Stegostoma tigrinum: one gene and its partners. The protein of the gene in region 4 purifies or fractionates together with the protein of the main gene of each other region. This does not show direct contact. Links are inferred from orthologs where the notes say so. Each region holds a gene or a part of one and is shown on either strand. Other genes may lie near its edges. The genes, in order: rnf216, chuk, map3k7 and ripk1l.

Evidence for each region.
Region 1: the proteins of ripk1l (region 4) and rnf216 purify together in Homo sapiens (affinity purification with western blotting; 3 studies listed by BioGRID). This does not show direct contact. The link is inferred for Stegostoma tigrinum from reciprocal best matches to the Homo sapiens genes RIPK1 and RNF216.
Region 2: the proteins of ripk1l (region 4) and chuk purify together in Homo sapiens (affinity purification with western blotting; 3 studies listed by BioGRID, with this or other methods). This does not show direct contact. The link is inferred for Stegostoma tigrinum from reciprocal best matches to the Homo sapiens genes RIPK1 and CHUK.
Region 3: the proteins of ripk1l (region 4) and map3k7 purify together in Homo sapiens (affinity purification with western blotting; 5 studies listed by BioGRID, with this or other methods). This does not show direct contact. The link is inferred for Stegostoma tigrinum from reciprocal best matches to the Homo sapiens genes RIPK1 and MAP3K7.

What each region holds. Positions count from the first base shown.
Region 1 is NC_081376.1:11,500,499-11,507,944, forward strand, and holds the start of rnf216 (E3 ubiquitin-protein ligase RNF216), read right to left. Parts: upstream 3,002-7,446; 5' UTR 2,787-3,001; intron 1-2,786.
Region 2 is NC_081390.1:13,731,686-13,739,519, forward strand, and holds the start of chuk (inhibitor of nuclear factor kappa-B kinase subunit alpha), read left to right. Parts: upstream 1-4,828; 5' UTR 4,829-5,007; intron 5,008-5,617; 5' UTR 5,618-5,669; intron 5,670-7,834.
Region 3 is NC_081357.1:54,993,812-55,001,293, reverse strand, and holds the start of map3k7 (mitogen-activated protein kinase kinase kinase 7), read right to left. Parts: upstream 3,006-7,482; 5' UTR 2,719-3,005; coding exon 2,644-2,718; intron 1-2,643. UniProt on the Homo sapiens protein: Serine/threonine kinase which acts as an essential component of the MAP kinase signal transduction pathway. Plays an important role in the cascades of cellular responses evoked by changes in the environment.
Region 4 is NC_081355.1:12,792,592-12,799,733, forward strand, and holds the start of ripk1l (receptor-interacting serine/threonine-protein kinase 1), read right to left. Parts: upstream 3,014-7,142; 5' UTR 2,917-3,013; intron 1-2,916. UniProt on the Homo sapiens protein: Serine-threonine kinase which is a key regulator of TNF-mediated apoptosis, necroptosis and inflammatory pathways.

The DNA of each region.
Region 1 (7,446 bases), on a different chromosome or scaffold from region 4:
AAATAACAGCTAGATGCATCTGAAAGGAGATCAGAATACACCAAGGACAAAACTTTGTAAACCAGCAACGGTACTATTGAAGGAGAGTGTAGTGGAGGCTGCTTTTTTATTCAAGGAACAAAGCAGTACTTTTTATTTTGATGACAAACGACGTCATTTGCAATGAGCACAGCAAACGAGAGAAAAAGGCTTAGCTGTTTTTGCTGGTGCTGCTTGAAGAAGAAAGGTTGGCCATGAAACTGAAAACGGTGACATAAGAAACCTTTCAATCTGACATGTAGAGAAACTAGCTGGTACTACTGAACATGCCAAAAGATAAAGTGAAAGTCAATAGAGCTAACAGCACCTTAACCATTGCCCAGGATCAGCCCAAGACCCAGCAAACCACTCCCCAATCCCTGACACCCAAAAGCACTCCCCACACCTCAAGGTGGGGAAGGAACTGGCAAAATTTAACAAAATGTGACCTAGTTTTTCACCAACCACCTGTTTCTGGATTTTACAGAAAACAGAACAGAAAAATTTTCTAAATAAAAACAGGAAATGCTGGAAATACACAGGTCTGGCATCATCCTTGGAAAAAAAAACTAACTATATTTTAGATGCTGGCCCTTCTTCAGATGCTATCTGAACTGCAGAGTATTTCTAGCATTTTGTGTTTTCTTTTTCAGATGTCAACATCCATTGCAGTTTGCTGTAGGAGAATCTCCTGTTTCTTTCTGAAGAGTTCTTTCATGCCCACTTGAAAAGGTTACTGACTTTGGTTTTACTGTCTCATCCTGCAACTTCCCTCAACATTATTTTGAAAAACTTATACACTCAAGTCCTGAACTCACCTCTGAATCAGAAGGCTAGAAGACTATCATTACGCCAATGTAGGCAGTTACAAATTCAGAAAATTCAAGTAAATGTGACACCCAAAGTCTCTGGCCTGAGTAGTGATAAAGAGAGGAGGGATGGCCTTGGCCAGAGACTAAAGAGTTGTGCATGAGAGGATACAGGGCTCAGGAAGATTCCAGTAGCAGGAAAAATTCCATAGACATGGAAAGCATCTCATCAGAGTGGATATTTTTAATTCAAGCCTTGATAGCATGCATTAGGAACTATTTAACTGAAAACATGAGTAGCATTCTGAGCTGGTAACAAATCATCTTTCTTCACAGAAGCTTTCTAAAAAGCTTAAGTGTTTCCAGTACTTTCCACTTCAATACCCAATCTTCTCAAACAATCTCTACGATACAGGAACCCAGGCTGATTTTCCCCCTCCAAATCCATCAACACCCAGGCTAAAATAACAACTTAAATAAAACAAAGAACTGTGGGCACTAGAGATCTGAAACAAAAACAGAAAATCGCTGGCGAAACTCAGCCTGATAGCATCTGTGGGGAGAAAGCAGTTAACATTTCAAGTCCAATGACTCTTCAGAGAGAATGAGTTCCAATGAAAAGTCACTGGACTCCGCTTTCTCTCCATAGATGCTGGCAGAACTGCTCATTTTCACCAATTTTCTGTTTTTGTTAAAGTAACTACTTTGCTGCCTCAGAAGATAAAGTCTAAACCTAGGATCCTCCTGTCTTAAATGTTCAGCTACATACAATAAACAAAGTGTGATGTGTTCCAGTTATGACTATGGCATTTCCATCCAACAGAAATTCTTGCATGTGTTTTTCAGGCACATCACAGCTTCAAGTCTGGCTGTCAATTATGACTCAATAGAGGAGTCATTTCAGCTTGAAAATGTGACACTCCTGTGAAGCGTGGTGAGCTGCTTGATGCAAAGCAAACTGCACATGGTTCCAAGCACCTTTCATTTAAAATATCTTCAGAACAAAGCCAGCATATGGTGTTGTGATTTGCCTCATGATCAAAATTTCCTTGCATAGAGAAAATACACTGACTGAAAGGCAATGAATTAAATCTGATTACCACATGAATATTTCATGCCTGGTGAGTTAATTAAAAACATCGATGCAGGAACTGCATATATTTTATGTAAAAACATGTGTTGCCATTGCCAACATTTATTTTTTCATCCTTGAACATATATGTATGACTTTGAAAAAGGTCAGGTACCCCTATAGCAAGTAGCTAGCCACCTCCAAAGGAAAGCCCTCTGTTTTTAAATGTGGAATCTCTGAATTGTTTTTGGGCAAACATGAACTTACTCGGAACTTGGGAGGGGGAGGCAAGAGGAGGATTAAATAATAGCAGATGGGCTCAAATGTCATCACCACATCAGCTGAACTAGGACAACAAAGTAAAACTACAGATTTGCCACTTGTGTCAAAACATCCCCAGCCCCCATGTTACACTGCACCATTTCCAACATTAGACATTTGTTAAAAACACTGACAGTATCACAGCAAAGGTGCTTAAATCAAAATACTGTACAGTTTTTTGGAAGCAAAAAAGTGAAACCTTTCCCTCTACCTTCCAACGTGTTGCCCAATGGCCTGACAATCTACTGAACATATCAAACATGGAGGTGGGGGAGAGAGAGAAGGGGGTGGTGGGGTAGGAGGCTGTTGGGGGAAGTGGTCTGGGGGTGTGCGGGATGGGGGTGTGGAGGAGTGAGGTCCGGGGTAAAGAGGTCTGGGAGTGAGGGTGTGGGACAGCGAGGTCTGGGAGCAGGGGATCGGTGAGGAGTGGGTGGGTGCGGATACAGGTCGGGGTGGGATTGGGGCTGGGACTCATGGTGAAGTTGTCTTGTTGCTGTCACTGTCCCTGAGTGAGAGGCGGACAGTCCCCGAACAGGGCGCGGGGGTCAGTTTCTCGGGTCTCTCACCAACTCTGAGGCTGTTGAGCAAGAGGCCGGACTCGGAGGTGACTCCCTCGGTCGTTTGCCGCGGGCCGGAGGTCAGCGCAGACGGAGACGATGCTTTCAGGTGGTCCGACTACCGTGCGTTGTCCCTGTGTACTCTCCTACCGACAGCCTGGTCTCCCATAGCGATCCGCAAGCCCAGGCCCTGACTCCTCTCAGCCTGCAACCTCCAAACACAGGAACTGACGTGCTAGCGTCGCCACGTTAACCGCCTGACGGCAAACGTAACCACGCGGTGGATTGTGGGAGTTGTAGTCCCAGGCCCGTTTAGTCAATATCAGAAATCACACAACACCAGGTTACGCTCCAAGAGGCTCATTTGAAAACACAAACTTTCAGAGCTTCTCTCCTTTTTCAGGTGTTCTTGAGAGACGTAGTATCAGACACAGAATTTATAAGAAAAAGATCAAGGGATTACGCCTCTAATCAGGATGTATTAAACAAACATAAGATGCTGTCAAATATTTAATGAGTTAGAAGCTTTTAATTGATTAATATATATATGTAAATCCCCAATTCATTTAAAGTCACTGTCCTAAGAGAAACCTAAAGGTTTTATCGGTGTAAAGAAGAGGTAATATTTTAGGTCATGTTGCGTATGAAGCTTTGTTTAGAATCTGTTTATGTTTTGGTTTGGAATCAGACTAGTTTTATTTCTAAATTAGGAAGGAATTCATAAAACACCAGATTGACTTTCTACAAATTGTGTGCTTTTTGGACAAAATAGACTGTATCTGCAAATACAAGTTCACAACATTTACCACATAGATTTATGTGTGTGAGGGAGAAGAGAGAGTATGTTAGTGAGTGTGAGTGAGTGCGCCCGCATGCTTGAGAGACAATGTATGAGAGAGGATCATGTGTATGTATGTGTGTGTGTCTGAGAGAGTGTGTGTGGTGTGTGTGTATGTGTGCGCACTTGGAGTGTGTGCGCGTGTGAGAGAGACTGTGTGTGTGAGTGTGAATGTATGCATGCGTGCGTGTGAGAGTGTATAGAGTGGTGGGGAAACCTGTAGTGCGACATGAATCCAAGATCTCAGTTGAGGCCATCTTCATGGGCACAAATGAGGAAGGGCCACCAGACCTGAAACATTAACTCTGTTTTTTACCCTTCACAGATGCCGCCAGGCCTGCTGAGTTTCTCCAGCAACTTGTTCCTAATTTACAGCATCGCAGTTCTTTTGGCTTTTTTTTCATGGGTACCAAACTTGGCTATAAGCCTCTGCTCAGTGACTCTGCGTTGTTGTGTATCCCGAAGTCTGCCTTGGAGGATGTTTACCTGAAGATCCGAGGCCAAATGTCCGTAACCGCTGAAGTGCTCCCCCACTAGGAGGGTACATCCCTGTCTGGCAATAGTTGCACACTGCCCATTCATCTGTCGTCGTAGCGTCTACATACTTTTGCCAATATGCCATGCCTCGGGGCATCCTTGCCTGCAGTGTGTGTGACAGACAATGTTGGCTGAGTTGCATGAGTATCTGCACCAGGTGGATGGTGTTACCCTGTGTGATGGTAGTGTCCATGTCGATGATCTGACATGTCTTGCAAAGCTTGCCATGACAGTGTTGTGTGGTGTTGTGATCGATGTTGTCCTGAAGGCCGGGTAGTTTCTTGCAAACGGTGGTCTGTTTAAGGTTTGGTGGTTGTTTGAAGGTGAGAAGTGGAGGCGTGTGGAAGATCTTGGCGAGGTGCTCATTGTCATCAATAATGTGTTGAAGGCTGCAAAGGACATTGTGTAGTTTCTCCACTCCCAGGAAGAATTGAATAACGAGGGGTATCCTAGCCACTGTATCCCATGTCTGTCTTTTGAGGAGGTCATTACAGTTCTTCGCTGTGGCACATCAGAACTGGCGATCGACGAATTGAGCATCGCATCCTGTTCATATCGCGGGAATGGTAGGTTTAACGTACGATGAACGGCTAAGGATCCTAGGATTATATTTATTAGAGTTTAGAAGGTTGAGGGGAGATCTAATAGAAACTTACAAGATAATGTATGGCTTAGAAGGGGTGGACGCTGGGAAGTTGTTTCCGTTAGGCGGGGAGACTAGGACCCGTGGACACAGCCTTAGAATTAGAGGAGGTAAATTTAAAACGGAAATGAGGAGACATTTCTTCAGCCAGAGAGTGGTGGTCCTGTGGAATTCATTGCCACAGAGTGCAATGGAGGCCGGGACGTTAAATGTCTTCAAGGCAGAGATCGATAAATTCTTGGTCTCAGAAGGAATCAAGGGCTACAAGGAGAGTGCAGGGAAGTGGAGTTGAAATGCCGAGCAGTCATGATTAAATGGCAGAGTGGACTTGATGGGCCAAATCGCCTTACTTCCACTCCCATGTCTTATGGTCTTATGGTATGAGGGTGTCCTTCAACACCTTCAGGTTCCGTCTCGTTCCTCCTCAATTGAACAGATTCTGTGTATGCATAGGACTTGTCCGTAAGGGATGGCTGTTTTAATATGTTTAGGATGGAAGCTAGAGAAGTGCAGCATTGTGAAGTTATCCATATGTTTGTGGTAACCTAACCTATGGGGTGAGCTTGTATTTGCAGAATCATTCTATTTTGTTCAAAAAGCGCACAATTTATAGTCAGTCAATGTGGCATTTTAACAATTCCTATTTTAGAACCAAAACCAGTCCGACCCCAAACCAAAACGCAAACAGATTCTAAACAAGGCCTCACACGTAACATGCATTGTCTGACCCAAAATGTAACCTCTTCTTTAGTTCTCTGAGAATAGTGACTTATAAGGAATTTGGAGATTTACATACACATATTAATCAATTAAAACCTTCCAGCTAATTAAAGATGTAACAGCATCTCAAGTTTGTTTAATACATCCTGACCAGTGGTGTGACCCTTTGATCTTTTACTTATAAATTCTGTCTGATACCACCTCTCTCACCAACACCTGAAAAAGAAGAGAAGGTTCCAGAAGCTTGTGTTTTCAAATAAGTCTGTTGGACTATAACCTGGTATTTCTGACATTGCTCACCCCGGTCCAACAACAGCACCTTTGCATCACTGCTACCTGTTCAGTCAGTCATTCCTGCAGGAAGAATCACAACAAATCAAGGGAAAGTCACTGAGAAAGCAAACACCATCAGCACAACTAATGGGAATCATAATAGAAAGGAAACTAAAATCAAGTAAAAGCACAGAATTGATAACAAACCACAAGCACTGAAAGATGGTGAGAAATCATCAGTCAACTCCTTCTGTTCTCACAGATCCTACCTGACTGTTCATTTGTTCATTCAATGTGGATAACACTTTCAAGGGTAACGTTTGTTACCAATCCTCAAATGCCCTGGAAATAAAGTAGTTTCGGACTCAACCACATCACTGAAGATCTGAAGGCACAAGGTAATTAAAACAGATTTCCTCCCTGAACCAGATGGCTGTTTCTCTTTGTCATAGTCACAATTATTAGTTATAGTTTTATTATTACGGCTAGTCACTCTAGCTGGCCTGGTGGGATTTGAACCCACAATCCCAGTAGCCTCAGTTGCTGCACTACTAGTGCAGTGACAATACAAAACCTCACCGTGTTGCCCAGCTTTCAGGGGGCTGGTGGGTGGGTAGCAGATGGCCTTCATTTTCTGTTTTTAGACTTCCAGCATCCTTACTGCATTTAACATTTTAGTTGAAAATTTCATGAAAAATCAGATAAGTAGATGAGGTAAAGTGGATTATAAGGATTGTGGTACATGAGATTCATGTAAATTACAAAGATATAGCTGATCATATAACTGTATCATTAGTAAGGGAGAAGGCACTTGTCGAGAATGAGTGCGTCAAGGGACAATTCTTGGACATTACTATAGGGAGCTGTATGCTGTGTACATATGTAAAAAATGTGTATGTCCGTGCATACAGAGTTGCATAAATATAAATAAGGGAGTCTTGCAGTAGACAAGAGTTAAAGAACCTTATTTAGACATGAGGAAATAAACATTAGCAACCAGGGATAGTCCAGACAGCTATCTCAGTGTGCAGTTAGCAGTAAAAGCGTAAAGCACAAGATTTAAAAGATAAGATGAAGTGAGGTGGCAGGAGGCTTAGTAAGGAGCATGAAACCAAACTGCTGTTTGGCCAAATAGCTTTCCCTCGTGCTGTAAAATTCTTTGCAATATAATTCTATATCTTCTCCAACATAATGACCTCCGTAACACTATCTATTCCTATCTTTGCCTCAGTTCATCTGCTGCTGAAACCCTATTGTTTGTGTTTGAACTCAACTAATCCAAAGCTCCTCTGGTCAGCCCACTGTAAACTTGAAGCCACTCCACAAGTTAACATACACCAAGCACCAGCCACCTGACAGGATTTGTCTGCTTGCTAATATAGCTCCCCGGGTATGACACCCTGTGGCATTGGCTGCAGCTGCACTGGCAAGGTGGGCCCGAAACAGACTCTTCATGGTAAGGCCAGTGTGGTAGCCGGCATTGGTGGCGTCTGCTTTGGCGAGATCCAGCAAGGGTTCATCGTGGAGAGATGGTGATGGAAACAAAGAGTTTTGACTTTCATTCCAGCACCACGGCAAAGGGACTCAAGCCTGGTCACCAGGCCATGACCCATGGCAAAGCACTTAGCAAGAAGGACTGTATGGTTAAGCTTTTTCTT
Region 2 (7,834 bases), on a different chromosome or scaffold from region 4:
AGAAAGTTGTTGACAGTAATCTTTGTTCTTGTTGGCAGTCTGGGCATCCAATCCTGGGCACCAGACAATAATGCCTCACCAACATCTTCATTTTGGAGACACCTGGATGACCCTGGTGGAGTTCAGCCAGTATCTTGCAGTGACCTTTGCTTGAGACAATCATTCTTGCTCCCCATAATAATATGCCATTTTCTATTGTGATCTGGTCTCTTTGGATTCAAAAAAGTTTCAATTCTGATTGTGACAGCCCTCTTAGAGTTCCAACACCTTACAAGATGATCACTGATTCTTCAATTCCCTGAAAGCTTTTGTTTAGCTATTCAAACATTTTCAAGGCTTGTTTTTTAAGAGTCGATGCAAAGCTGCTGGGATGGAGGTCAGGTAATGTATGAATTTTCTGTAATAATTCACCAGCCCAAGGAAAGACCTAAGCTCTGGTACAGCTTTGGCAGCCAGGGCACCTTTGATCACTCCCAATGTATCTTCCAAAGGGTGTAACCTAGTCTTCTCAACTCTAGCCCAAGTAAGTTACTTAGGGTGCTGGGAACACGCTGTTTTCCCTCCTAAAGCATAAGCCTGTCGGGGAGAAAAGTTGAAGGACTATGTCCAAATTCTCTAAGCACCAATTACTGGTATTCCCTATTATTAGCACATCATCTAGATAAATGACAACCTGGGGTGGACTTTGTAAAATGTTCTTCATAATCCACTGGAAAATTGCACAAGCTGACGATACCACAGATGGCAATCTCATATATTGGAACAAATCATTATAGGTATTAATTATAACATACATCTGGGAATCCTTATCTAACCACAACTGGAAGTATGCTTGGCTCATGTCCGGCTTTGTGAAGGTCAGTTCCACCCACCCACCGCACATCATAACCTTTAATTCCTTTACTGTTCAAAAATCAATCTTTGCTTTCAAAACATTCAACAAGATAGTCTCAACTGCTTAACTGGGCAGGGAGTTCCACAGATTCACAAACTTTGGGAGAAGAAGTTCCTCATCATCTCAGTCCTAAATCTGCCCCTCATTTTGAAGCTTGCCCCCTGTCCTAGGTTTCACCCACCAGTGGGAACAGCCTCCCTGCCTCTATCTCATCTATTCCCTTCATAATTTAAATGTTTCTAATTCTTCTAAATTCCAGTGAGCTAGTCCCAGGCTATTCAATCCCTCCTTATAAGCCAACCTTCTCAACTCCAGAATCAACCTAGTGAAGCTCCTCTGCAACCCTTCTGGTGCCAGTACATCCTTTCTCAAGTAAGAACACCAAAACTGATGGGTAGTAAATGGTGGGGTCTTTGCAACTGACAGAGATAAAACAAAAACAAAAAGACCTCCCACCCCCATCGCCCATTTGCTTTGACTCACTAAATGTACAGTAAATCCATTCCATCACACTGCACTTCATCTGTGAAAAGCTTTAGAGTACTATATATCTGAAACTCAGCAGTTGAATTTTTCTCTAGTTATAAGAGCATTTGCCATTTACAACCAATGTGAGTCTGTGACAGCATGATGTGCTTGAAATTTATTATTACTTCAAAAGTTTTCATGACTCTAGGTTGTTTTTACAAGATAGTCTTTCGGGTAATTTGCATCATATAATATTTTTAGCTTCATAAAATAATATTGAAACTTCAGAAATAAATATTAGAATAAGTACTTTATTGTTGTCTTGGGAATCAGAATAGAAGCAACATACAGACACACGGTCTCCATAGAAAGGAGAGTACATATTTGGGGATTAGTAAGTAAGTATAAACCATATTCACAAAGGACCATAGTAAAGTTACAGTAACATGTCCAAGACCAAATCTACTAGTTGCAGTATGGAGTCAGCAGATCTTGGTTAGATTGCAGACTGGGCTCAGTCAAACCAATACAAAGGTGTGGCAAGATTTAACCAAAATGAGTACTTTGTTATGAAGACAAATTGAAGTACCGCGCCCAATTTGGGTGATTAATCATTCTCCCACACATGAGTTGTAGAAAGCGTATAAACCTGAAATTTTAAAATATGTTTATTTTTCCAAGATACTTAAAGCAAAAGAAAATTTATCTCAAACAAGTTTTCAGGATCTGGGCTAACAGCAGATTATAAGTTCGCATTGTACTGGTTTAATTGTATCAGTGACAGTAACATAAAATCTTTTTGGCTCAAGTTGAGGAAATGTTGTCTTCTAAGTAAACCTTTCCTGTATTTAATCATAGGAGCAAACACTATTACATTTTACCAATTTTGGTTACAGCCTAGGCGCAAGAACAGTTCCCACCTCGTGAGGGAAGTGGCGAAACCTAATGCTAGAGAGAATCTACATAAATCTCAGCACTTAACTATGTCCAAACTCATATCACAACTTCCATATCCTGGTAAAAGTGCAGTAATTCTTACATATGTAAATGTAGTGTTAACCTGAGGAAATGTCAAAGAGAAGGGATTGAGTGGGTAGCTGAAACCAAATTTGAATTTCTCATCGGAATGTTGCATTCTCATCTCCATGGATATATGAAGCTCAGCTGCATGAAAGCAGGCAATATGTGAGAGGTTATGCTACCTGTAACTTGGAAAAAAAAAGGAATGAGTATAACAATGTGACAATAAGAAAAATGCATTAGTTTATCCAGTTCTGTGATTCTGGATGTGAGTTTCGGCTTCATCAGAGGCTCACTGATGATGTTATCTAGAATGGTGACGAAACGTCTGAAAACTAACCTTCCAGCTCAGTGAGCAAACTCACATCCAGAACCTCAACCTGAGCTATAAATCTTCTCAAAACTTGCAAGTTCTGTGATTATAACTTGTGGAAAATATGTCATTTTGTTACTTTTTACAATAATCTTCAGATTTTCAGCTTGATATCTACAAACTGAGTAAAAGAAATCTACACAATATTTACTCCACACATTCAAAATGGACAAGAGTATTTTTAGTATACAATTTCAGCAGTTAAACATAGACTGTCTGAGTCCTAAAATACCTATTTATTACAGTAATCAACAAAAACAATGCTTCCTGGTGTGAAATGCTTTCCAGATATTGTACAACAATTTTAGACAAGTACCACTTACCATTACAAAAGCAAAATATACTGTATAAATAGAATACAGTGGTTAGGAACACTGGAGTATGGTTTATACCTAGTTGATTCTACACAAATAATACGATAGAAGTAAAAGGGTAAGATGTTGGATAATATCAGCGGGTCTGGTGATGTCTGTGGAGAGAGAAACAGAGTTAATATAGAGTTCACAATGCCTTCTTCAGAATTGAGGGCAGCTGGAAAAATGATTTTATGCATTGGAAAAAAAGGGGAAAGAGGAGCAAAGGGAGAGGATGGGAAGGGTATCACAGGGAAAAAGACAAAGGGATTGCTCAAAGATTGTAGAGAAGCAATGTGAAGTGTAAATTTTTATTTGTGGTATGTCCAGGAAATGATCGTTCTTTTTCATCCTCAAACATTTCATACAATTGCAGAGACTCTTATATTGCATCCAAAATGCAGTTTAAAGTACATTGGTTAGGTCATACTTTAAACTTTTAAAGTTAATTTGTGTAATCATGAGGGCAATAGATGCATGTGAACACCACCACCTGTAAGTTCTCCTCCAAGCTATATTGCTGTTACTTAATTGTCACTGAGTCAAAATACTGGAATTCCAATCCTAACAGCAATGTGGATGTTCCTGTACTTCAAGGAATGCAGTTGTCCAAGAAGGCAGCTCATAAGCACCTTCTTCAGAGAAATTTGGGATGGTGTCCTGGACAGCCACATCCCATGACCAATTGTAAATTTCACAACATTTCCAAGTCTTTTGCTGTCTACAAATTTTGAAATTGTGCCATGCATAGCTTTCTATTTATAGTCCCACAACATTGGCCACTGCTGTAAAATCACTGCAATATCTCCAACTGCAAAGATAATTCAGGTTATGTTGGCTCATGAGTCACAATGTTCCATGTAACAGCTTGGCTGCAAAGCAGCAGACCACAAAACAAAGGGGAGGTTTTAAAAATTCTTTCACAGGATGTTAGAGCCTGTTGAAGCAATAGAGAGCAGCCTTCTTCATCCGCTGTAGCAAATGTACTGCATTTGGGGTGTAGGTCTCTTGAAAGTATTTAGAGCAAGTGTGAAAGGTTCTGGAAAGTTAAACTCCCATGGTCCGTGGTCAATAGATCCCTCAAGCATTATCAGTAAAGCAAATTATGTGGTCATTATTACATGAATGTTTGTGGCAGCTTGCTGTGAAGAAGTTGGTGGCCATGTTTCCTTAATTACAGCAGTTGACAACACATAAAAAGAACCAGTGCTTCATGATAAAGAACGATGGCATTTCAGGAGTCGTGAAAGGAGCTATTAAAATGCAAACGTTCTGAAGAAAGTCACATAGGTTTAGTCATTCGACGGAGTGACTGGTGTTGGTTTAACCTGAGGGTCATCACCTTTCAGGTGAAGAGACAAGTTGGAGGAGGAGGGTCCTTCATAGTAACCTCAGCCGGTGCTTGAAACGGACATGATAGATGCTGCCAGACTAATCAAGTTTCTCCAAAACACATTTAAAAATTTCAGATTTCTAGCAAATTATAAGTGGGAAAGGCTGATCAGCACTCAGTCTGTTTACTTTTGCTTTCGGGTTGAGAAGTTTGTTACTTCACCCCATGCACAACTCTCCCGCGAGAGCACGTGAAAAGATGCCACCCACGCCCCAGGTCCGCGACACACCTAGCTGTCAATCATTGCGGAGGCTGGCCCTCCAGGCCATGGGGGCGGGGTTTCACACTAAGCCCAGGCGTAGCGTCTTATCGAGAAAGAACTACAACTCCCGGCGTCCCGCGGGCGCGCTTGTGTGTCGCAGTTGCGGGAAATGTCTCTGATCAAGATTGATGAAAGAAGCAAAGTGTGATCACTTCTAACGTGTTTTTATTTGTTTTTCCGCATCGCAGTTTAATCATTTCTGCCTCCAGGAAGCGATTCCTTCGGTTAGCTTTCGGCTGCAAGGTAGGATTCGTAAAGGAGTCCCCGGTTTGACTGTTGGAGTTCCCTTAAACTAAGGCCTAAAGTGTCACTGTGCCGTGAATGACTTGCGTCTGTAATCGGTTGAGCATCAGTTGATGACATTGGAAAATGTGTCTTTGCGAAAATAGTTTGGATAACATACTTTTATGGCAGACTTTTATTTTTCTGTTGTTCTTGGTTCTCTTAAAAATGTTTTTAGATTTTCTGGTTATTTTGAGACTAGTGTGTATGATGTCATAGTCATGCCATCAACTTTTTGCCAGGACTTGGCCTAAGGTCGATTTATGTTAGCTAAAATGGGCAGGTTTCCCTTGGTTTTATTAGATCCTGGCATTTATTTTTAATCAGTACTTCAGTATGGTATTCGAATGATTAGTTTACAGCTCGTCCATTAGATTGAGTGGCATGTCAAATTTTTGAAACTGGATCACCTCCTTAAAGGAGGTTGGGGATGATTTTTCTTTCAGAGATTTTTGAGACAAGAATCTGCTAATTTTTGAATTTGGAGCCAAAAAATAATCACAGCAAAGATCAAAATGGTCGGGCATGCACCTGATTTATATTGCCTTATGATCTGTACTGCTTTTTCTAGTTGCTGCAGTTGTCAAAGACACCGAAGAATGCCATTATCATGAAGTGAAAAGGTATAGTCAAGAGCACCCTTCCAGTTCTTTCCTCTACTTAGGCAAATTTTGTATGTTTTCACGATGTTGGAAAAGGTCTTAAGCCTGATGTCCAAACCATGTCAAGGGGAGGCAGACAGTAGCTTCAAGAAAAGTCCACTTCTTATTCCTTGAGACCACAGGAGGCATTTAAAACACTGCAGCAGTGATTGATTTTTCTCCTTTGCTCCTAAATGCTATCTCTATCTACAGCACTTTTATAATTGTAATGGAGTCCTATAAAAGCAAGTATATACAGGTTATAATGTCTGTTTGTGGGCAGGATGATAAGAAAAGTTCTAATTCTAATAATTCCACATTATGCAAGGAAGCACCAAAATTTGAAATTTGAAGACTTTGGAGTATATATTATAGCTTAGATTTTCACAACAAAACCTAATGTTCATATGTAAATGTATAAGCATTGTCCAATGTACCCTTTAAATTTATACATCAAAAAGTGACATTTATTAGTAATTGAAAGAAGTGGGATGAACAAGTTAATAAATGATATCTTTCTGACTTGGGTTTTGCACCTTTTTAATATTGTAGTTTAATTTTGTAAATGTTCTTGCTCTTGTGAGGTTTATGTAGAGATTCAATAAAGTAATTGTTATAATTACAGGTTACATTTAGTTATGTTTTTTCCCACATTTTGTCTTTAATGATTTGAAAAAGTAATGCATTCATATTCAAATTTACAAAGGAAAAACCCAGGTCACATTTGGTGCAAATTATGTCCTCCAACAAGCAATATGACATAGTGGATGTATTAGATAAATTCAGAGATGGTTTGAACAGGAAATGTACTGAAGGCTCTGAAAATGTAGCAGAAGGTGCCTTCTTGGTTATTATAATGTTATTATTATCATTATCAGGACTTAAGAACGGGAGTTTGCCATTCAACCCCTCAAGTCTTTCAGTGAGTTCATGGCTGATCTCTGTCTTGCCTCCATCCAGTCATGTCACTATATACGATTACCTTTCCTCGGAAAATGTATTGATCTTCAATTTAATTGTTTGAGTGCAGGATTTCTTTGCTGAAAATAAACATTTTGTCAAACTTTTAGTCTTGTGCTGGGTCAGGACATTTAACAAAAATACAAGTTTGAAGGGAAAATTCCATTTTTACTGCATGAGCAGAGTGCTGATTGGCAAATTAAAGCCAACATAAAAATGTAGTTGAATTTTAAGTCTAAATTGTGTTCAGAGTAACTCCCATTTCCTTGATCTATTGTTGTAACTGAAATAGTAGCATCTTTATAAGACAGCCATGCTGTTATGTTGAATTAATCACAGTTGCAAGTTTCAGCAAGTTGCATGCATTCAGAAGGCTATAAAATTAGGCAGAAGATTGGAAATAGCATTCCTATCAAGCTCTAACCTTTTTCCTTTACTATTTACTGGGAAATTGATGACTGGACATATGATTTTATACAGCCTTTTAAGATACTTTTCAGTTACTTAAAATTGGGTTATCACTAGTTTGTGGATGATTAAAATGCATAAGTTTTTTTGTGAAATAATTTTAGCTCAGTTAATCAAATTACACAAGGTTGCCATTCTTGCATCAAGAATTCTTTCAAGTATAGAAGAAATCACCATTGTTCTAAAATACTGTCTAATCTGGCATGTGGCAAAAATTACATATGGTGATACTCAAATTAATTTGGACATACTTCTCAAAACTTAATACAATTAACACTGACTAACCAAACATAAATTTGTTCTTTTGTACTGTGGATGAGTAAAATGCAACAAAAATTGAAATAATAAATAAGAACTTCATAGCCAAACTTTACATGACCAAGGAAACATTAACAGCAAGGTTTTGTGTTTGTTTGTGTGCAAAGGGGTTCAAGAGAAAAGAAACTTTTAAGCTGAGTTTTTGCAAACATGAAAGCCCTTCTAAACTTTACAGAGTGCAACTTCCCTCACTAAATGTGGCTGAATTATCTACAGTTGCATGAGAATGCAAGCAAATGTCCATTGGCCTGTATCCAGAAATAAAAAATCAAGCAGGTTTGGTTGTATTGGTGGAATTTTGGTGCAAACCACTTGCTTGAAAAAACTCTGTCTCTCCATGAAAAGTCAGGTCAATGACAGTATCCTATGTATAGAGAGGCAAATACATCAACCTAATCCAA
Region 3 (7,482 bases), on a different chromosome or scaffold from region 4:
TCAGTCTGGTGAACATTCCTTGCATTTCTTCTATGCCAAATATATCTTTTCCACTAACTGAAATCAAAACTGTACACAATACTCCAGGTGTGGTCTCAGGAAGGCTCTATAAAACAATCATGGTAACACTTACTCCTGCAATCAAATCAACTATCATTAAAGGCCAGCATTCTACTTGCCTTCTTAAATGCTTGCAGCATTTGCATGTTAGCTTTCAATTACCTAAGGACAAGGACAGCCAGACTCCTTTAGACATTAACGCTTCTAAATCTCTCACCATTTATTAAATGTTCTGCATTTCTCTTTCCTACCAAAGTGGATACTTTCATGGTTTTTTCACATTATATCTCATTTACCATATTTTTGCTCACTTACTTAGCTTTTCCAAATCTGCTTGAAGCGTCTCAAGTCACATTCCCACCTAGTTTCAGGCTGATGTGTGTAGCACATGGGATGTATAAGTTACTAGATTTACTTTAACATTTTAAGGATAATTCAAAGAATCATTCAATGGTTGCAGCACAGAAGGAGGTCATTGGGCCTGTCATGTCTCGAGCAACTCTACACAAAAAAATTAAACTTGTATTACTCCACTGCCTGCTCCTTTCAGTGCTGCAAATTTCTGCTCTTCAGATAGTGATCCAAAGCTATTGTGCAAGTTGAATGTGCTAATCAAGAAAATCTGGAATTGTTCTTGCTCTTGAAATCACCTCTTTAAACAATGTTCTCTTTTCCAATTATTAACAGGAGGAAGCTCCTGCACAATTTGTTTATATTTCCCTCCAACATGACATTGATCAAAAGTATTTCGTCATTTATGTCATCCTTGGAGAATAATTTCATTGGAGAGAGAACATCAAATGAAGCTTCAATATCAAGTTTAAGGTCTTCATTTGTTACTTTAACAAAAAGGCTTTACAAGCTCATGGAAGTTTGGACACTGAACAATTCAATATATTCTAAAATTGAATATGTGAAGACAAGATCGATCATATTTTTAATCCACAGCATCTGCTCAATTAACTCCAATCATTTGATTGATTTTGTAACCATCCTCTCAGTCAGTTTACTTGTACAGGTTTCTTTACTGGATCACAGTTAGGAACAAGACAGATGACAGCCCAGGGATTCCTGCTTCTTTGACTGCATTGCAGGGACCTCTGCTGGAAGCCCACAATGGTTAATTATTGGATTGGGCTCTGCAGTCAAATTCTACTGCCACTGTTTTCAGTCTTAATTACATCAAAATGGTTTGAAACATTTAGAATTTTAGGATAGTTTTTCTTAATTCATGCTGGTTGTAAATTTTAAGTAAAATCAAATTCATTGCATACTTTCAAAGGTACAAATGAAATTCTCACAATGTCCAGTGTCACAAAATGTAGTGGCTAAGTGGCAGTATCCCAAATCTGTGCCAGATTCAAGTCCCACTTGTTCCAGGGCTGTGTATAACATCTCTCAACAGGTTGTTTTTTTTAAAAATACCTTGAACTGGATTCTCATTGACTTGAGATAGTATAATATACAATACAACATAGAAACAGATCTTTCATCCTAAGAGTCAGTTACTTTTTATTTAATTCTATGCTAATTTAAATACCAAAGTAACTGAAATCCACATTCACCTATCACAATATAGTAGATAAGTGCACATCATGCTCACTTAAAATAGTCACATTCATCTGTACAATGGATTAGAACAAAAGAATTTGTTGGTTGACTAAAAGGGAGATGTTAATGCAATCTCTACAGTTACAGCAATATTGCAATCGCATTTTCAAAAAAAGAAAGCCAAATCTGAAACAGTTACATTGTTAAAAATGGAAGGCTGAAGATCCATCAAAATTTGGCATAGCTTTCTTCATTATGCAATGGGAAGTCATTTCTCCCCCACAAAAAGTTAATTATCTACACTAAAGATTAGTTGGTAATCTACAAGTTCACCAAAAACATCAACCTTCAGAATCCTGGAAAATCAACAGGAGCAAATGTTATAGCCTGGTAGTTCCTTACTGCAAGTGCATATATTAGCAGCAAGTTAGACAGAATTTAAACTTTTACTTTAGACACCAAGTTGCTGGGGAAGAAATGAAATCAGTTTGCCATAACGAGGAAAGTATTCAAATAATTTCTGATCATGTTTATACAGAGTTTATAAACAAAAGCTTTCAAGAAAAACAAGGAATATAAATAAATAAGTATAAGTATATCCCAGTTAAACAATTCAAATTTTGTAGCCACTCTTTTCCGAACTGTCTTACGTTGGGGGCGGGGTACTAGGATGCACAAACGACTAAAGTTCTCGTTCAAATTTAAAAAAAACTCAAAAAACAATAAAACTCTCCACAATTCTCACATACTCCAATGCACCAGAGAGAGACAGTATGAGATTACCAGAAGACATCAGACAGCACGAGATGTACCCTTCACTAACGTGTTTACAATCCATCTAAATGATCTGGACTTTAACCCATTTCCTTATTCTCTTAAACAAAACGGACGAGACTGGGGGCAGGGTGTTGCGGGCAGGGCTCGCTCCCCTTCCCCACGCTGGGGCCTAATACTTGACTCTCTCCCCTGGTTTGGTGTCTCCCCCAAAAGCAACAACACCCCACCCCCCCCCAACCCCGGCTCTTGCCTCACCTCCTCCACATCAATCTCATTGTAGTCGATCTCCTCGAAGTGCAGCGGGGGGGTGTCGATGATCTCCGCCGACATCCCTACAGCCGGCAGTGGGGGGCGGTCAACCCCAGGCCCCTGGCGCAAGCCGCCGGGCCGCCCGCCGCACTCGGCCTCTCGAATTCGCCGCCGGTGTCAGGAGCGGAGTTCGCCGAGGCCGGGCCGCGATTCCTGCAGCGCTCCGCTCCCACCAGCTTCGTCCGGCATTTCCGGGGTTAATCCCAGCCCGCAAACATCCGGGGAAAAGCGGCTTGCCGCCGGAACTGACGCTCTACACGAACGCAGGGATAACTAGTGGCAGAGACACACGGGCGATCCAGAGAAACCGCCGTCCCCAGGGAGGACGGATGGGTGGGGCGGAGTACTGGCAACGGTAAAAGAGCTTCCTACTACGCCTGCGTGACCTACTCGCCATTCCAACATCCGCGCCTGCGCAGCACTGCTTGGAATCGCTGCGCGTGAATTTTAAATTTGAAAGTTTTTTTTATAACCGGCGAAGCCGGAACTTGATTTAAAGCGACCTTTTCCTCACCGGCTGTCAGCATCGTTTCAAATGAGGACTCCGATGAACCCGGACTGTGAGCACAAACTCTGCTTCTCTCTCCAGACGCTGCCGGATCTGAGGAACGGTCACTGGACCCGAAACGTTAACTCTTGTTTTATTTTCCGTTCACAGATGCTGTCAGACCTGCTGAGCTTTTACAGCAGCTTCTGTTCTTGCTGCTGTGGGATCTGCCGAGTACCTCCAGCAATTTCTGTTTTTGTTGTTACGATCTCCAGCGGCCTTAGTTATTTGTTTTGTCGCATAATCGTTTTGCACTTACTGCACCAGCTCATTCGTTTCGCCGAGGAACTTTTCACTTCAAACTGAATAAACGGCCATCAGTTGCCGTGGTGAAAGTGAACATTTTATTCCAGCAAAACGTCTGAGTTTCGGTGGTGGAGTGACTGAATGTTTGTGGATATGGTGCCAATCCCTAGCGGGCTGCCTTGGCGTGGCTACTAGTTGAGTGTTGTTGGAGCTGAACCCATTCACAGACAAGTGGGGAGTACCCTGTCATACCCCTGACTTGTAAATGATGGACAGGGCTCTGGGAGGTTTGCAGGTGAATTACTTGCTGCAGGTTTCCTCCCATCTGACCTGCTGTTAAGGCCACAGTATGAATAGTTCAGTTCAGTTCCCGGTTAAGAAAACAGCAGGACATTGATTGGAGATCACAAAGTGCAGAGCTGAATGAAAACAGCAGGCCAAGCAGCATCAGAGGAGCAGGAAGGCTGACGTTTTGGGCCTAGACCCTTCTTCAGATATTGGTTGGCGTGGGCATTGGTGGCCTGGTAAGATAATGCCATCAAATGTCAAAGGGAAGTTCTTACTCAGTTGTTTGAAATGGTTGTTGCCTGGCACTTTTGTTGTATGAATGCAACTTACCATTTATTAGCTCAAGCCAGCAAGGCTTGGGAATTGTGATCAGAGATAATGGGAACTGCAGATGCTGAAGAATCCAAGATAATAAAATGTGAGGCTGGATGAACGCAACAGGCCGAGCAGCATCTCGGGAGCACAAAAGCTGATGTTTCGGGTCTAGACCCTTCATCAGAGAGGGGGATGGGGACAGGGTTCTGGAATAAATAGGAAGGGGGGGGTGGACCGAAGATGGAGAGAAAAGAAGATAGGTGGGGAGGTAGGGAGGGGATAGGTCAGTCCAGGGAAGATGGACAAGTCAAGGAGGTGGGATGAGGTTAGTAGGTAGGAAATGGAGGTGCGGCTTGAGGTGGGAGGAAGGGATAGGTGAGAGGAAAAACAGGTTAGGGAGGCAGGGACAAGCTGGGCTGGTTTTGGGATGCAGTGGCGGGGGACGAGCTGGGTTGGTTTTGGGATGCAGTGGGGGTAGGGGTGATTTTGAAGCTTGTGAAGTCCACATTGATACCATTGGGCTGCAGGGTTCCCAAGCGGAATATGAGTTGCTATTCCTGCAACCTTCGGGTGGCATCATTGTGGCACTGCAGGAGGCTCATGATGGACATGTCATCTGAGGAATGGGAGGGGGAGTTAAACTGGTTCGCAACTGGGAGGTGCAGTTGATTGTTGCGAACCGAGCGGAGGTGTTCTGCAAAGCGGTCCCCAAGCCTCCGCTTGGTTTCCCCAATGTAGAGGAAGCTGCACCGGGTACAGTGGATACAGTATACCACATTGGCAGATGTGCAGGTGAACATCTGCTTAATATGGAAAGTCATCTTGGGGCCTAGGAAGGGGGTGAGGGAGGAGGTGTAGGGGCAAGTGTAGCACTTGCCTCCCTAACCTGTTCTTCATCTCACCTATCCCTTCCTCCCACCTCAAGCCGCACCTCCATTTCCTACCTACTAACCTCATCCTGCCTCCTTGACCTGTCCCCTCCCCACCTATACTCTCCTCTCCACCTATCTCCTTTTCTCTCCATCTTTGGTCCTCCTCCCCCTCTCTCCCTATTTATTCCAGAACCCTCTCCCCATCCCCCTCTCTGATGAAGGGTCTAGGCCTGAAAAATAAGCTTTTGTGCTCCTGAAATGCTGCTTGGCCAGCTGTGTTCATCCAGCTCCACACTTTGTTATCAAGGCTTAGGAATTAGATTCTCAACAATCACCTGCAGAAAAGTACAGTAACCCTAAACGTCAGCTTTCCTGTTCCTCTGCTGCTTGACCTGCTGTGTTTATCCAGCTCTACGCCTTGTTATCTGAGTAAAATTGCAAGTCACCTTTTACAAATACTGGACTTCTCAGAGTTCTTACTAGTCAATGCAGTAGTTTTCCAACTGTAGAAACTCTGTGAAGTAGGAAACAAGGTGATGATCACTGTACAGTTAACTCAAAAAATGTGATAGTAACCAAATAACCTTTCTGTGATGTTGACGATAAATCAAATATTATCTAAAATACTTTTGATAGTACAGATTGGAGTATCTTAATTTCTATGCTCAAGCTCTGGAGTGGGACTTGAGTCCAGAACCTTACAGCCTAAGAGGCAAGAGAATTACCCTTTGAGCCAAGGCCAATTGGCATCTTGAACATGTACAGTACAATGTTATGGGGATGTCATGGGTTCTAACCATTTTGCTTGAGTATTGGAAAAATGTCTGGGAATGTAACAGAGAAGTCTCATCTCTACCTTCTGCATTTTCTTTCTGGCTAGCCAGTGATGAAATGGATTCGGACATGCTTTCCCAGGGTAGCAATGAAGCTGGGTTGATGCCAGGCTGACAGGCTCAAATGCAGACTTCCATTTATTGTGATATCGGTCCTGTGTTAATGATCAATGTTAGGTACTTAAGCCTTCATGTCGTACTGTCCACCCACTACATGCCACCTCTATAACCCCTCAGATTCCTTATTCTTTTCATATCATCTATAGTCCAGAGTCCCTCCATGTTCTTCAAGTTTCCCTTGCTTTGTCACACTTCCCATATGTCTCAAGTATCCTCCGGAGGCATTCACCCAGTACACACCACGGAAACAGCTCAGGATCTTAAAAAAAAAACTCAACAATCCAATTTCACTTGAAAATCTTCTCTTCCTCTGTGGAGTTACTCCACCTTTATAATCAAAAAATATGGAATTAGCACATTATCAGTGGTAAGGATGCTTCCCATAACAGTGGAAATAAAAAAGGGGAAAAAAGAAAAAAACTTACCTTTCCAAAAAATTAGATCCCTTCAGGCAGTCAATTGATTGTCGGAATAAACATCACTTCCACTATCCCATCAAAGATAGATAAGCCCTCAATATTTTCTCACAACTGGCCGTCATGCGTATACAGCTGAAATAGTGGTTCATAACCTTTTGAAACAGCCCAAGCATTCATCACAGGCTCAGATGGAATAAAAATCCCTGTGAATAATTAACAGTCGAGTCTGTTGCAACTAGAAAAAACCTAGATGACTGTTTCGTTCTGAATTACACCAGATGTCCCGCCAGTCACCACAGCCTAGGAACGTCTAAAGCAGATAAATACTACAGTGCAGAAGGCGGCTGTTGGGCCATTCACATCTGCATCAGCTCTTAAAATGAGCACCATTTACATCTCCTACTTTTTCCTCATATTCTTGCACATAATTGTGCAATGTCTTTTTGAGTGTCTCAATTGAACGTGCTTCCATGAGGCTTCAAGGCAGTATAGCTACTTTTGCAAATCATTTTAAATCTGTGCCGTCTCATTCTTGTTTCTTTTATGAGTGGGAACACTTTCTCCCTGTCCACTCTATTTAGCCTGCTTATGATTTTGCAAACTTCTATCAGATCTAAAGAGAACCGTCTCGCATCTTCAATCTATTCTCAAGCAAGTGAAGTAGGACTTTTTGTCTCTATAATTGAAAGCTGCAGGTTTTGCGCCCTGTTATTGAAAGGCATATAAAATCCAGCCTACAGCTTTTGGTTGTCACATATGCATGTGAAAAAATTTCATACATAGCTCTATGGAAAAAATGTCTTGGTGAAGAATAATCATTGTCCAGTGGAACACATGCGAGAAAAATAATCAGAGTTCCTGCAGGACTCCAAAGGTTATCCTTGAGGCTTGAGAGTCATCACTTCACTCTGAAATACAAGTCAGGAAGATAAATAGTGATTAGCAGATGTCCTATCTCTGTTGCCACCACAGGAGAAGCATGAAATAAAACATCTAGATATAAAAATCTATCACCTAATGAACATAGTAACAAGGAAACTGAGTCAATTTAGTTATCAATGAAGACAAAATGTTCTGGAAGATCTCTCAGCAAGTGATTCAGGGATATCTGTTTAGTTGATGCAAACACATGCAGTAATACTGCT
Region 4 (7,142 bases):
GGAGCCTTAGTGAATTTCTGCAGTATTGCTTATAAATGCTCCAAACTGCTTCCAAAGGTCAGTAGTGGAGGGAGTGACTATTTGTGGATGTGGTGTCAATCAACTGGGCTGCTTTGTCCTGGATTATACCAAACTTCTGGAGTACTGCTGGAACTCCCATCACACTCCTACCTTGTCCTTCATAGATGGTGGAGAGGCTTTCAAGTATTAGGTGCTGAATTGCTCACAGGAATCCTAGCCTCTGACCTGCTGTTGTTGCCATAGTATTTATATGGTTAGTCCAGTCTAAATTCTGAACAATTTTAACCCCCAGAATGTTGATATTATGGGATTCAGTGATGATAATGCCATTCAATATAAAACAGCAACATTAAGTTCTTTCTTATTGGTGATGGTCATTGCCTAGCATTTGAATGGCACGAAAGTTTCTATCCTCTTGTCAGCTCAAGCCTGGCTATTGTTCAAGTCTTACTGCATTTGAACATGGACTGCTTCAGCGCCTGAGGCATCGCGAACAGTGCAATGTTCAGCACTATCATCAGCAAATATTCCCACTTCTGAGCTTACGATGGAGAAAGATTATTGATGAAGCAAGCTGGATCGAAAACACTACTCTGAGGGGTTCCTGTGGAGATATGCTGGAGTTGAAATGATTGACTTCCAACAATCACAACCATCTTCTTCTCTGCAAAGTATCATACCAACCAGTAGAAAATGCTCTGTCTAATTCCACCAAACCTAGTTTTGCTCGGTCTCTTTGATGCCACACTGTAGAAAACACTTTCATCTATGGCCTGACACTGCCCCAAAAGGAAGCAATTTGGACAGTTTAACATTGCTTTAGTACTTTCGCTGGAAGATCAAGCTAGACCATGTGCTTAGGTTTCTGGAATGAAGCGTCAAGTCACGATCTTCTAACATGATAAGAAATCAGGAGTAGGCCACTTACCAAGAAGCCTGTTCTGCCATTCAATTAGACCATGACTGATGCAATTGTAGCCTTCACTTTATTGACTGCTCCCAACACTTTGGTCAATGAAAAATCTCTCTAATTCCAGGCGCTAGTCTATTCAATGTCTCAGCCTCCAAAGCTTTCTGGAAGAGAATTTCTGACATTAAATACCTTCAGCAGGAGAAATTTAACCTAACCTCCATCATAACTGGACAGCCCTATCATTTAACTGTGTCTCCTGATTCTAGATTCTATGCAAATAGGAAGTGACCTCTCAGCATTTAATTTACCTCAGATTCCAATAAATATAGGTCAAAGCAGCCCAACCTTCATTCCCTTGGACAGGTTAGATGCACGCAGAAGGTTTTCCCTAGTTGGGGAATCTAGAACCAGTGGACAGAGTCCCAGGATAAAAGATAGGCTATTTAGGCCTGAGGTGAGAAAAACTTTCCTCACTCAAAACCCGTGGAACTCCCTCCAGCAGAAAGCTATGTCGGCCAACTGACTGAGTATATCTGAGACTATGGCGGATTCCATTGCGATTTTAAAGGCACCTAAAGGGAGAACATAGAACATTACAGCGCAGTATGGGCCCTTCGGCCCTCGATGTTGTGCCGGCCTGTGGAACCAAACTGAAGCCTATCTAACCTACAGTATTCCATTATTATCTGTACGTTTATCCAACGACCATTTAAATGCCTTAAAGCTGGCAAGTCTACTACTGTTGCAGGCAGGGCATTCCACGCCCTTACTACACTCTGAGTAAAGAATCTACCTCTGACATCTGTCCTATATCTGTCACCCTCAATTTAAAGCTATGTCTCCCCGTGCTAGCCATCTCATCCAAGGAAAAAGGCTCTCACTGTCCACCCTATCTAATCCTCTGATCGTCTTGTATGTCTCTATTAAGTCACCTCTTAACCTCCTTCTCTCTAACGAAAACGAGAGGAGAAAGTGAGAATATAGCATTGAGATAAAGGATTAGCCGTGGTCATACTGAATGGCACAGAAGGTTCAAAGGGCTGAATGGCCTACTATTACTCCTTGTTTCTATGATTCTTTGTTTCAAACCAGAAATCTACCCAGTCAACTTCTCTAACTGCTTCAAGCAGAGACTGCACACAGTATTCTGCCCACATGATAAGTCTGACACTAAATCTACCGATTTTATTTTGAAGTTAGAACATTTGAACATATTCATTTACACAACAAGTCAACATCACATAACTTGACTCTGCTGAAAGTTCAGAGGAAGCAAGTGGATCAGGTTAGGCCAATACTGAGATGGTTCAAATCAAAGTAAAACCTGTTCGCACTGTCAGTGAACAAACAACTCACACAGTTAGAGGGCTACAAGAGGGTGGTTAAAACAGCGCATCTCCAGTCTCTTCGTAGTTTGATTTCAGTCGACAGAATTGATGGGGAGTGGATGGAAAGAAGTTGTGTTTGGGAAATCGGAAGGGGTGGTTGTAAGAGTTGTGCTTGGGCAGGAGGGGGAGAAGTTGATTGGTAAATGGAGAGATTGTGGTTTGCAGAGGAAAGGAAGGAGTTGGAGGGGGTAGCGAATTGTGTTGGGCGAAAAGCAGTGTTTTTGGGGAAGAGGGGTTGTGTTCTTGGCTGGGGGAGGGGGGGTGCGCGTGGAAGGGTCGTGATTCCCAACATCTCACGAACTGTAGAACAGAAACTGGCCGCGGAGCCCGAACTGTCCCTTGCCCAGTAAGTCGCCATTACATTCAGCGGAAAGAGAACGTCGGCGCCACCTTTCCAAGTGCTAGAGTCGGCAGGAAGGGCCGAATAGCCGCGGGCACAGTGAGGGAGGGGGTTTCTACAGGGAAATCTCTGCAGTTCTCGGTATCACTCTTACAGCCCGGGCGGAGTGAAAGCTTCGAGCCTCCTGAACCCTCTCCCTGGGGGATGTAGGGAATAGGCTCTCAGTCTGTTCACCTTCTTCCTGGTGTCCTTACCTGCCCGGCCTGTCCTAGGGAGATCAGCTACATTGCTCTTTCCGCGTTGTTCTTTCCTGCCTACATCCTCTTCCGTGTTGCAAAACAGCCTTCGAGCGCCGCCTATTTGGGAAATACCCTGTAACAAGATCAGCTGCAGCACCTCGTGTCTTAATGTCGAGCAGTTGTTATAAAGTCGTGTGAGTCTGTGTATCTCAATTTTTTTTGACATTTTGTTCCATTAAGACCAGAAAGCTATGCATGTGCATTTCATGTTAGCTCGGTTGTCTGCAAGTTCTGTAGATGACTTCAGTGCATGGAAACACATTTGCAGCTTTCATTTGGTCAGGAAATGCTTACCCCCTTTAAGTTCCAGTAAAAGCAGATGTTATCGATATCGTGATAATGGGAACTGCAGATGCTGGAGAATCCAAGATAACAAAGTGTGGAGCTGGATGAACACAGCAGGCCCAGCAGCATCTCAGGAGCACAAAAGCTGACGTTTCGGGCCTAGACCCTTCATCAGAGAGGGGGATGGGGAGAGGGTTCTGGAATACATAGGGAGAGAGGGGGAGGCGGACCGAAGATGGAGAGAACTGGGCTAGTTTTGGGATGCAGTGGGGGAAGGGGAGATTTTGAAGCTGGTGAAGTCCACATTGATACCATTGGGCTGCAGGGGTCCCAAGTGGAATATGAGTTGCTGTTCCTGCAACCTTCGGGTGGCCCAAAACCAGCCCAATTCGTCCCCTTCCCCCCACTGCACCACACAACCAGCCCAGCTCTTCCCCTCCACCCACTGCATCCCAAAACCAGTCCAACCTGTCTCTGCCTCCCTAACCTGTTCTTCCTCTCACCCATTCCTTCCTCCCACCCCAAGCTGCACCTCCATCTCCTACCTACTAACCTCATCCCACCTCCTTGACCTGTCCGTCTTCCCTGGACTGACCTACCCCCTCCCTACCTCCCCACCTATACTCTCCTCTCCACCTATCTTCTTTTCTCTCCATCTTCGGTCCACCTCCCCCTCTCTCCCTATTTATCCCAGAATCCTCACTCCATCCCCCTCTCTGATGAAGGGTCTAGGCCCGAAACGTCAGCTTTTGTGCTCCTGAGATGCTGCTGGGCCTGCTGTGTTTATCCAGCCTCACATTTTATTATCCTGTTATCGATATAGTTCAAGTTGAGCGGTGACGATGTTTACCCGCCCACTGTCCTTAATTGCACCATGTTGTTTAAAAACTCTTAAACTTCTGATAGCTTCCCAGTGCTGATTGAGGTCTAGCTACACCATCGCTGAGACCTGCCTTGTAGTTAAAAGCGTTGCAGCCAGCACATTGGTATCCTGTAAAGGAGTTTGTGACCCTGAGGTTCCTCATGGGGTCTGAAGCAACTTTAGGGGATGGAGGACAGTCAGCAGCAGAGGAACCAACTCCGTTAGTTTCTGAAACCTCCCTGGACAGTACGTGGTTTCCAGTGAACATTGCAAGGTGTGGAAATCTACCCGTGATCAGGAGTAGTCTGGACAGAATAGAGGGAGAAACCATTCCCACTAGCGAGAGAATCAGAAATGAGAGGGCGGGGATTTAAAGTGATTGGTGAAAGAAATAAAAGCTCCATATGCTTTTCCACAGAATGAGTGATCAGGTTCTGGAACATCTGTGTCTGGGTGTGCTGCATGCAAGTTCAGTTGAGGCATTCAACAGGGAATTAGACAGCTAACTGAAAAGGATGAGTGTGCAGGGTTCCAGGGAGAAGGTGGGATATAGGTACTGAGTGAGTCGTTCATTCAGACAGCTGCTGCAGACAGACTGGTAAGAATAGTCACCTATGCTCTAATTCTGTGAATCAAAGGTACAGTTCCTGATGGCAATAAGTATCCCTTACCCCAACTCCATTCCATCATGCTGCTTGGCCTGCTGTGTTCATCCAACTCCACACTTTATATGGTTAGTCCTGTTCAGTTTCTGGTAAGCCCCAGGATGATGATAGTGAGGGATTCAGTGATGTTCGTGTCAGTGACTGTCAAAGACGATGGTTAGATTCTGTATTGTGGAAAATGGTCATTGCCTGGCATTTTTATGGTGCAAATGTTACTTGCCACTTTTCAGCCTTAGCCTGGATATTGTTCATGTCATTATGCATTTGGACATGTACTGCTTCAGTATCTGAGGAGTCATGACTGGTGCTGAACATTGCACGATCATAGCAAACATCCCTATTTCTGACTTTATGATGGAGGAAAGGTCATTGATGAAGGAGCTGAAGATAGTTGGATGAAGGACACTATCCTGAGGAGCTCCTGGAGCTGAGATGACTGAGTTTCAACCACCATAGCCTCTTCTTTTGTGTCAATTATGACTCCAACCAGCAGAGTGTTTCCCTCTGATTCCCACTGACTCCAGTTTTGTTAGGGCTCCTTGATGCTGCATTCAATCAATTGTTGCCCTAATGTCAAGGGCAGTCACTCTCATCACAGCTGAGGTTTAGCTGTTTTGCCCATGTTTTCACTCAAGCTGTAATGAGGTCAGGAGCTGAGTAGCTTTGGATGAATCCAAAGTGGGCATCGTTGAGCAGGTGCTGCTTGATAACACTGTTGATGGCACCTTCCATCATTTTTTTTGGTGATCATGAGTAAACCTAGGGGACGGTAACTGGCTGGTTTGAATTTGTCCTGCCTTTTGTGTACAGGACATACCTGTGTAATTTTCCACATTGTCTGGTAGGTGGCAGTATTGTGGCTGTATTGGACAGCTTTTTCAGTGATATCAGAGATAATAGGAAGTGCAGATGCTGGAGAATCCAAGATAATGAAAGTGTGGAGCTGGATGAACACAGCAGGCCAAGCAGCATCTTATGGCAAGTTCTGGAGCACAAGTCTTCAGTACTATTACTATAACGTTGTCAGGGCCCTGCCGTATCCACTGCTGCCACTTGTTTGTTGATATCACGTGGGATGAATTGAATGGGCTGACGGCTGGCGTCTGTGATGCTGGAGACCACTGGAGAAGGCTGAGATAGATTGTCCACTTGGCACTTCTGTCTAAAGGCTGTTGCAAATACTTCAGCCTTGTCTCTTGCACTGATGTGCTGAGCTCTCCTATTATTGAGGATATATTCATTACAACACGAGAGGTCATTTAACTGTGGGGTAGAATTTTCCCAGTCCCTGAATGATGTGGACAATGGCAACTCAGTTAGAAAAATGTGGCGAGAATGGAAACATGAGATTCTCAAACTTAAGAAGAGTTCAGAGTTTGTGCATTAGGTCTCACTGGTTAGGTGAGAGGCTCACTCGTGCAATGTGAGGAGCCTAGTTGCAGGCATTAAATGTCTCTCTCTTTTTGCCTAATCTTTTTGTCATGCAGTTTGTCATTTTACCAAGGCAGCAGAGAGAAACCGGATGGTGACAATCCTGACATAATTCAGAATGGGTACCTCCTGGCGGCAGCTTACTGTTGTCTTCTCAAGGCCTGAATCCTGATAAGAATTCTCCAGCTTTGCGGGACATGCCCCACTAGAAGGGACTGCATGCATCCCAAATCCACGGAGACTGGCATTGGCCAAGCATCAGTCTCTCCATATCATTGTGCCATATCTCCGAATCACTTGGAATACAGTTCTACACTTCACTACGGCACTTTGGATCTAACTGACACCTTACAATGTGATGCTGCTGCCAGGCCACTTTGTCCACAGGGACTGGCACCCATCTCCTGCATCAGGACAGGGTGCAGCTCAGGGTTCTTAGCTTGCTTTATTCATGTCCGTTCTCTTGCCTAATTGTATGGTCACAGCATCTCTGGCTAGCCTTGCCAATTTTCACATTGCTGCCTCATTCAGGACCCACAGGGCTCACAGTACATCTGTCCTGTCTTGCCTTTCAATGCAGGCTGAAAGCCAGGCAGCTGGTTGCGGTTGTCAACTGTGAACGGTCAAGGGGATGGTCATGTCACTGGATGACATCTTGCTCTGTCTAGGCTACACCTGCTCCATATGCCAGCAGCTAACACGGCAAACACAAGTTTGGCACAAGCTGTAGTTCTGGGGATAAAGACATGGAAAATAGGCACAGGGGGAGGCCATTCAGCCCTTCAAATTTACCCCACCTGCATATTGAAGTCCTTCTTAATTAGTCTAATAGTGCCTTTTTTACATGTCTTTTCTATCTCCTGATTTATTTTCTTACCCACATCCTGACTACCATTAGGGTTAATAGTAGACAACAGGGGAAAAGTGGACCAGAAATG